2 linked regions of the Rattus norvegicus genome follow. The protein of the gene in region 1 binds, or shares a complex with, the protein of each later gene. Links are inferred from orthologs where the notes say so. Each region holds a gene or a part of one and is shown on either strand. Other genes may lie near its edges.

Region 1 (3,565 bases):
AGTTAATTTTGCATAGTATTTTAATGGTTTTTGTACATAAAGTAAAGTTTCATCAGGTAGAATTTTCCTGTAGTGACATCCTGTCAGGAGTCAAAAAGGTACAGATTTTAGAACATTGCAGATTTTGAGTTTTTAGACTAAATATGTTCAACCTATAGAAGTGACTAAGCAGAAAGTGAATGTCAGTCGTCCATATTGGGAGAAAGGACATTTCAGGAGGTGTAGAGAGAGGATTGGGATGACCATTTCAGCATCACTTTCTTTAACATCAAGGTTAGACAAACAGAAGGAAGTTGACCTGTCTTAATTTAGAATGCCTTTATTTCTCATTATTCTCATTAAGGACAAATGGGTGAATAGTTCTCATGTTGACTCCTATTGAAGAGATAGGAAATTTGTATTGAGCAAAGTTCCATAAAAGCAATTACGTAATGATTTTGAAATAAAAAGTAAAAAGATAAGCTGTGATTATTCAGGGATTGACTCTGGGAACTCTGTTAACAATACCTGACAACTGAGGTGAGGAATTACTCTAGAAAGTTTCTTGGAATGTAAAAAAAATTTCTTCAGCATAATAAACATGAGGTCTGATTAAGGTTTATTTTCCTTATATAAAACTTGGGTAAGAAAGGTTAATTCATGTGTGTGTGTGTGGGATTGTATTATTTCTTAGAATGGAAGAAATTTACAAACACGTAATAAATTAATGTTTTGCCTATATATCCAGAGTTTTCTTGAAGTCACTGAGAAGTCTTTATTGTTCTTTGTCTTAGTTGTGGGAGAATAAACTAATGCAGTCTAGGGCAGTAGATGGATTTCATTCAGAAGAACAGCAGCTTTTGTTGCAAGTTCAGCAGCAGCACCAGCCCCAGCAGCAGCAGCATCACCACCACCACCACCACCAGCAGGCGCAACCTCAGCAAACGGTACCTCAGCAAGCACAGACCCAGCAGGTTCTTATTCCTGCGTCACAGCAAGGTGAGGAGGCTAGAGCTCCCTGTCGTGGCTAGCAAATTGCACTTGTTTTTCAAAAGTATTCCTTTGACTTGAATTTCATGGATCCATCATCTTTTTTAAATAGACGCTGGGATCGGGTGATCTATGTGATCTTTTTCTTCTCTGTTGGCTGGTAGAGTGCTCGCCTAGCATATATGAAGCCCTGGGTTCATACATGAACCCACCACTGCATAAGCTGGGTATTGTGGAGCACGTCTATAATGCTAGCATTCAGGAAGACGCAGGGTGAGATATTAAGGTCATCTTTAGTTATTTCTGTAGAGAGTGAGTTGGAACCAGCTTTGACTACTTGAGACTTTGCCTCCAAACCAGCAAAACAAAATAACAAAGGGAAAAGTTAAGAAGAGCATCCCTGGGAGGGGAGCTACAATATGTGAATGAGCTGAGCTAGGGACCAGGTAGAGAGACTTGGAGTCCCAAGAGCATAAAGGCAGAAGACCCCTGTGGGGAGATAGGTAGTATAGACAGAGTCCCAGAAGGTTTTGAGCCAGCGAATCTGTTAAATATATCAGAAACATTACAAAGAAACCTTGTGCCACATAGGTTGGAGGTAAGGATCCATATTCCACACTTTGTATATATTGTATAAGAAAAAAAGAAAATGGGGATCCCCACCTATACAGACTTATTTATAAAGGGATTCATCATTTAATATAAGGTAGTTTTTCTTTATGAAACATGTTCTTTCAAAGACATGTTTGTTTTGTTTTGTTCTTGTATCTTCAATACTGAAGAAATTTTGTAACTTTGGTAGTCTGAAAATTTAGTCCACCTTTTAATGCTTGATTTAAAGAAAGAAAAAAGTCATTTATTGACTCTGCCATAGTTTGCAAAAGTCAAATCATGTTATAGGTCCTGTTCTGTTAACTTTTATTGGGGTGTTTGCAGAATAGCTATTAGCTCAATCTCACAGTTGAAGAAAATCTGGAAAGATTAAGAATCTGCCATACCATTCAATTCAGCACTCAGGAGGAAGAGGCAGGCAGATCTCTGATTTCAAGGCCAGCCTGGACTACAGAATAATATCCGGGACAGCTAGGGCTACATGGAGAAAACTTGTCTCAAAAAACCCCAAAAACAAAAAAGGATCTCAGTACATAAAAAGGATCTCCGCCATACATAGTTTTTTTTTAATATGACAAAAATCTATTGAGTTACAACATTTCCTGAATCTTATAGTTAGATGAACTTGACTGGCAAGGAAACTTCAGGTGAATGAAAGCGTAGTTTAAGGTGGTGACTGTCCGTGACTCATTTGCTTCTTCTGTGAGTATGTGAAATGCACAGGGAATAGTTACATGGAGCAGAAAACCTATACAATTTGGTTTACCATTTACAGCTAATAGATTCTGAGGATCTTTTTTTTTTTTAAAGTTTTGTATATTGTGTGTGTGTGTGTGTGTGTGTGTGTGTGTGTGTGTGTGTGTGTAGGAGCGATAGTCCGTGGCTTGGTGGCAACTACCTTTGCCTACTGAACCATCTCACCAGCTCTTCATGCCTATATTAAGTCTATACCATAAAGTAGACATCCTTTTCATCTTTGATGACTGTTCCTCCTATTGCCTATAGGCATGGCACTAGGATTTTAGGTCATCATAAATTAAAATTGATTTTTTTCACTCAGAGAATATCAAGATAATGGGATTATCTGTGTATTCTCTGAAATTTGCGGGGTCAAACAATTACTTCCGCTTTTTAATTAACATTGCCATTGTTCCTTGTGTGTGTGATGTTGTGCGCACATGCAGATGTAGGTGCTCATGTACTGTGGTGCATGTATGGAAGTCAGAATACAACTTTAGGTGTTGATCCTTGCTTTCCACTTGGTCTGAGACAGCATCTGTGTGTTTTCTGCTGTATGCACTAGGCTACCCACCCTCAAGCTCCCCTCAAGCTTAGCGCTCTTCTGTCTCTGGCCCACCCTCCTGGTAGCTCCATACAACAGTGGTATTAGGGTGCTCATGCTATTATGGCTTTTATGTGTGTTCTGGAGATTCAAAGCAGGTCCTCCTGCTTGTATAGCAAGCATTTTTACCCACTGACTTGTATTTTTCAAATAGTTAATTAAAATGCCTTGACTGTGGTAGCAGTCAGGTTGCTAGAAAAGGTTGTAGGGTTTTCGTTTGTTTTTAGAACACTGCTTTACTATGTCGACCTGGCTGGCCTTGAACTCAGAGTTCTATCTGCCTCTGTTTCCTGAGTGCTGGTGTTAAAGGCATGCACTGCAATGCTGGCTAAGGTATTGTCATTTTATTAATATTTTTCAATATAAAATAAATGTATTCTAGCTGTTGATTTCCATAGAAAATTTTTTAAAAGTCTAAAATAGCAAATACTTTGAGAGTATTTTCAAGTAGGAAATGTAACAAAATCATGAAAAAGGTTTTGACATTTTATAACATTCCTGCAGCTCTGTACCCTTGTTTGTAAATGGACCTTTTATTCTTTTTTTTCTTCTATTTTTGTAGCTACAGCACCACAAGTTATTGTTCCTGATTCTAAGTTGATACAACATATGAATGCATCAAGTATTACGGTGAGACTTGAA
Region 2 (4,348 bases), on another chromosome or scaffold:
CAGCGGGCCTGCTGTGGGGAGCACCTGGCTGCCCCCTTCACTGACCAGGGGTATAGTGCTCTAGCAAGGGAGTCCCTTGCCCTGGGCCAGCCACCCCAGGCCAGATTCCAAAACTAAGACCTTCCCATCTCCCCCACACGGTGCTGAGGCTCCCTGCTGAAATGCAATTAAAGCAACTGATTTTCTAGTGCTGGTATTTATTGACTACCGTGCAGAAGGGCTATCTTTCTATTCACATCCAACCTTTTGTTGCGTGTTTCTGTTTTTTAATACTTTAGGATCTGCTCTGTGGGAACAGACCTTGTAAATAACCACTGTTCATATGTGTGGCAGAATGATAAGGGGGCCTCTCTCAGGGGGCCCTGGAGCCAGGGAAGTGGCAGAGCCAGCCCAACTCTGACTGTGACCCAGGAACGACCACCAGAGGTCAGTTAGTTTGTACAGGAAATGGGCCTAAGCCCTTGGGAGGGAGGCAGAACGGGCTCAGTTAGTAGCACGATGACGCATGAAGGAGATTATGTTGTGCTCTTTATTGCCAAAAATAAAAACTTTTAAAAAGACAGCTACTGTTGATCAATAAATACTCCTTTTCTGTACTAGTGTGTGCTTCCCCCTAGGCTGCCTGAAAACCACTATGTAGGGCCAGGGATGCTAAACCCCTATAAAACCTGCCTTGTCTAACACCAGTGGAACCCCTGGCCATCTCTCCGATGTCCTTCCAGGAGGCAACGTGAGCAAGCGCAGTCCTTAGCCCAGAAACCAGAAGGGCCCCAGGGCCTGGAATCCGGTCAACTTTGAACCTAGTCTCCGCAGCAGGCGGGCTAGTTTATGGTGAGCACGTCACTCTGGATCTCATGGCTTAACTGGGTCTGTAAATCACTCAGCTTCTTCTTTAGCCCAGACAGGGCTGAGAGGACAATGGTCTCAGGGCGCAGTGAGCCACATGACTCCACATTGTAGTAAAACCTGAGAGACGAGGGGGTGAGAGCTCTCATGAGGCAAAGCCTGGGCTTCAAACAGACTTCGTTCTGAGACTGGACTCCATTCCTACGAGGCCTTTGATCTTAGGACAGGGCTGACTTCCCTTTCCCTAGAACCCCTTACGCAGAGTGGTCCAGGCCCACTTCACAGTTCCTCGGGGAAGCTACGAAAAGGGCATTGTTGTAAAAACCCTAAGATGACTCTGGGCGTGCATGTCTACACTGGAGACAGCAGGAAGAAAACCAAACACGATTCTGGCTACAGCTCTTCAGTTCTTCAGGGGAGGGCTATGGTTAATTTGTTCTGGCTTGAGCCTAAACAGGAAGGCCAGAAATAGCATGGGGCAGTAAGAAGGTCCCTTTCTTTATGGTGACTAGAGAGGGATGAAGACCAACTCAAGATGTGCGAGTTTGGCAGTTGGTTCTATCACGTGGTGGGGATGAGGGTGGGAGTGGGGGATGGGGTGTGGTGTGGTGAGCTTGGGTGTGTGACTGCCTAACAGCCTCCCACACCTACACTTACAATTACAGTCCCAAGCAGGACTGGGGTCTTACCTCTCTGGCTTGCCGTTGGGGTCATAGGGAGCCTGTGACTCATCCTCATCCAGCTCAGAGTACTCACTCTTTGGCCTGAGGGCAAGCACAGGTAAAGCAAAGGTGGCTGCTTCTACTGTTAGCAAGGCTCTCAGAGCACCCACCTACCTAAATCTCACTACAGCCATTGCTATTCCCCCCTCCCCCCAGAACATACCATTCCTCAGGCTTGGGATACACTGTATGCCTAAGTGCGTTGTCTGGATCGTATTCAAAAGCTACCCCCGCAGTAGGGTTCCACTTGGCATGCTCCTTGCCAAAGCCCTTCTTGGCATAGGCTCGAAGTCTCAGCTCCTGGCCTTTCCTCAGCTTGACAATAAGGATGTCTGCAGGGAGAGGTGAGAGTGAGGCAGAAACAAAAGGGACAAGTTCTCCAACTTGTGTCCTGCAGTACTGCATGAAGAGAAAAATATCAAGAGACCAGGCGACTCAAAAGGGTCTCTGCTCTGACCACCAGCTTGACTGCCCCATCCCTTTCCCATCCAGCCCGACCCCCTTACCATCCTGCTCCACATAGTCATTGGGGTCATTATCCCGGTTCCGGGATGTCACCTGTAGGAAGTCCAAACAAGTATGCATTAGCCTCTCACCTCTCAATCACCTCTGGCAACTGTCTCTCAGTAAATCCAGCCTGTAAGCTGCCAAGCCGGGGAAAGGAGGCTGAGAAGGAGATGGCAGAGTTGTCCAAAGAGCCCCGTGGCCTTTAAAAGGGTCTTTGGACAACATAGGGCACATGGCCCCAATACTGCTCTGTTCAGGAACTCAGGGCCAGCACGTCTAGGTGGCAGTTAAAGTAGATGATCACAGGGTAGGTTAGCATCTCATAAAAGACCCACTCTAATCTACCCCACTTGGAGCCAGGCAGAGAAGAGCAAAGGCACTAACCGGGATAACCCGGGGGCTGTTGGAGATGAGATCTCGGGAGGTAACATGGCGCGTCTGGTCTTCATTGCACCTCACGTCGAGCGTGAACTCCACGGAGCACTCTGGGCAGAACTCTTCACATGTGCAGTCCTGAGGCAGGAAGGGCAGTTGGATCGGGAAGACTGGACTCTCTGCTTTTCCTAACCAGCTCCTTTCAACTTCTTCTTGGTGAAAAGGGGTGACCCCAGTCCCAGGCCCTTTTGGGCTGTGACATCTGGTTCACCTCATGGTAACTTGTATACCTGCTGGCAACCACACTTCCTTTCCAGGGCCACTGCTACAGGTGACCACTAGGGGGCACACTGCTAATTCAGCAGTGCCTAGAGAGGACCAAGGTTTTATGCAACAATAGAGTTCTGTCTATGCAGATCAGCTTGGGAATTACTGAAAATACAAACAAGGGAAGAACAGGAAAACAGACAAAAAACAACAAAAACACCCCCAAAACCCAAACAACTTTGAAGTTCTAGATTACTTGGGGAGGAGGGGGCTGGCACTCACAGCCTAGGCTGGCCTGGAATTTAGGATGTAGGTGAAACTTAAATTACTGATCCTCCTGCTGCTACTACTGCCATGTGAACGATTATAGGCACGTGTCACAACATCCAGTAATCTTTACTTCAAAACTTCTTATGGAAAATTCTACCCACATACAGAACCAGAGAGGACAGATGGCCACTTGTCATATGCCCACCTTCCAGCTTCCTTAATTATCAACATTTGCCACTCTTTGTGGATGTTTTGTGTGTTCCGAGACAGAGTTTTTCTCACTAGGTAACCCTGTAAATGGTGGGATACAGGCACACAGCCGTAGAGGACTGCAGCACACTGATCTGTGCTCAAGTGCGCAGAAGGCAAGGGCAGGGCGCCTGCAGCTTATTTTCTTAGGGAAGAACAGGGCAGACGTAGTAAAACGTTATCATCTGGTAACCACAGAGAAACAAAACAAAGGGGGATTTATTACTGTTTCTCAGACACGCACGGGGACACATGCCTTTAATGACCAAGGGAAACACTCAGGAGGCAGGGCAGGCAGATTTCAGTTCAAGGCCAGCCAGGGCTACATAGCGAGAGTTCCTTAAAACTAACACAAAAAATGGAAACAATAAGTGGATGAAGGGTGTGAGGCTGGCTGTTAAAAGTGACTACGGCTCAGCTGCCAGAGCAACACCCAGTAGTTCACAACTGCCTATAACTAGCTCCAGGGGCTCCGAGCGATGCCCTCTTTTGACCCTAGCCCACCTTCACAGACAGAGGCAGACATACACACACATAAAAGTGGCTGTGTTCCCCCACCCTTTTGGTTGTTTTGAGACAGGGTTTCTCTGTACAGCCCTGGCTGTCCTGGAACTCAAACAGATCCACCTGCCTCTGCTTCCCAAGCTGAGCCTAGAGGCATGTGCCGCCACACCTGCCCGTGATGATGCCTGGATGTGCTGAGAGCAATGTGAAGCCCCATCAGAACCAAGGACCACACTACTAAGACATCATCTCAACAATGAGCATGCTACAGTCAGCTGGAAGGAAGATGCCCAGAAAGATCCCAGGGAGAACTGGACCCCCCTCCCCCGACCTGTGCTTCCTGTCTATCTGCCAACACACGTACCCGGGAGTACTGCAGCTTGTCCACAATGTCATCACTAGTGAGGGGGATTAAACCTGCAAGACACAGAAAAGTGCTCTGCAGAACAGCCAACAGCCAAGCCACCACAAGAACCTCAGAGGTCAGGCAGGCTAGGGACAGGGAGCATCCCACTTTGATCTCTTCCTCAACACCGGCACTCACCAAGCCTGTGCGCGATGAATTCATCATGAAGGACCGAGGAGTTGGCATCAATCTGAACCCAGTC

Evidence for each region.
Region 2: Gtf2a1 (region 1) and Polr2c share a complex: the UniProt entries of both Homo sapiens proteins name them as parts of the TBP-based Pol II pre-initiation complex. The link is inferred for Rattus norvegicus from reciprocal best matches to the Homo sapiens genes GTF2A1 and POLR2C.

Annotation. Positions count from the first base shown.
Region 1 is NC_086024.1:116,235,214-116,238,778, reverse strand, and holds part of Gtf2a1 (transcription initiation factor IIA subunit 1), read left to right. Parts: intron 1-773; coding exon 774-978; intron 979-2,558; exon of another isoform or gene 2,559-2,701; intron 2,702-3,485; coding exon 3,486-3,553; intron 3,554-3,565. UniProt on the Homo sapiens protein: TFIIA is a component of the transcription machinery of RNA polymerase II and plays an important role in transcriptional activation. TFIIA in a complex with TBP mediates transcriptional activity.
Region 2 is NC_086037.1:10,163,638-10,167,985, forward strand, and holds the end of Polr2c (DNA-directed RNA polymerase II subunit RPB3), read right to left. Parts: coding exon 4,285-4,348; intron 4,158-4,284; coding exon 4,105-4,157; intron 2,589-4,104; coding exon 2,460-2,588; intron 2,127-2,459; coding exon 2,075-2,126; intron 1,901-2,074; coding exon 1,732-1,900; intron 1,611-1,731; coding exon 1,536-1,610; intron 967-1,535; coding exon 822-966; 3' UTR 511-821; downstream 1-510. UniProt on the Homo sapiens protein: Core component of RNA polymerase II (Pol II), a DNA-dependent RNA polymerase which synthesizes mRNA precursors and many functional non-coding RNAs using the four ribonucleoside triphosphates as substrates.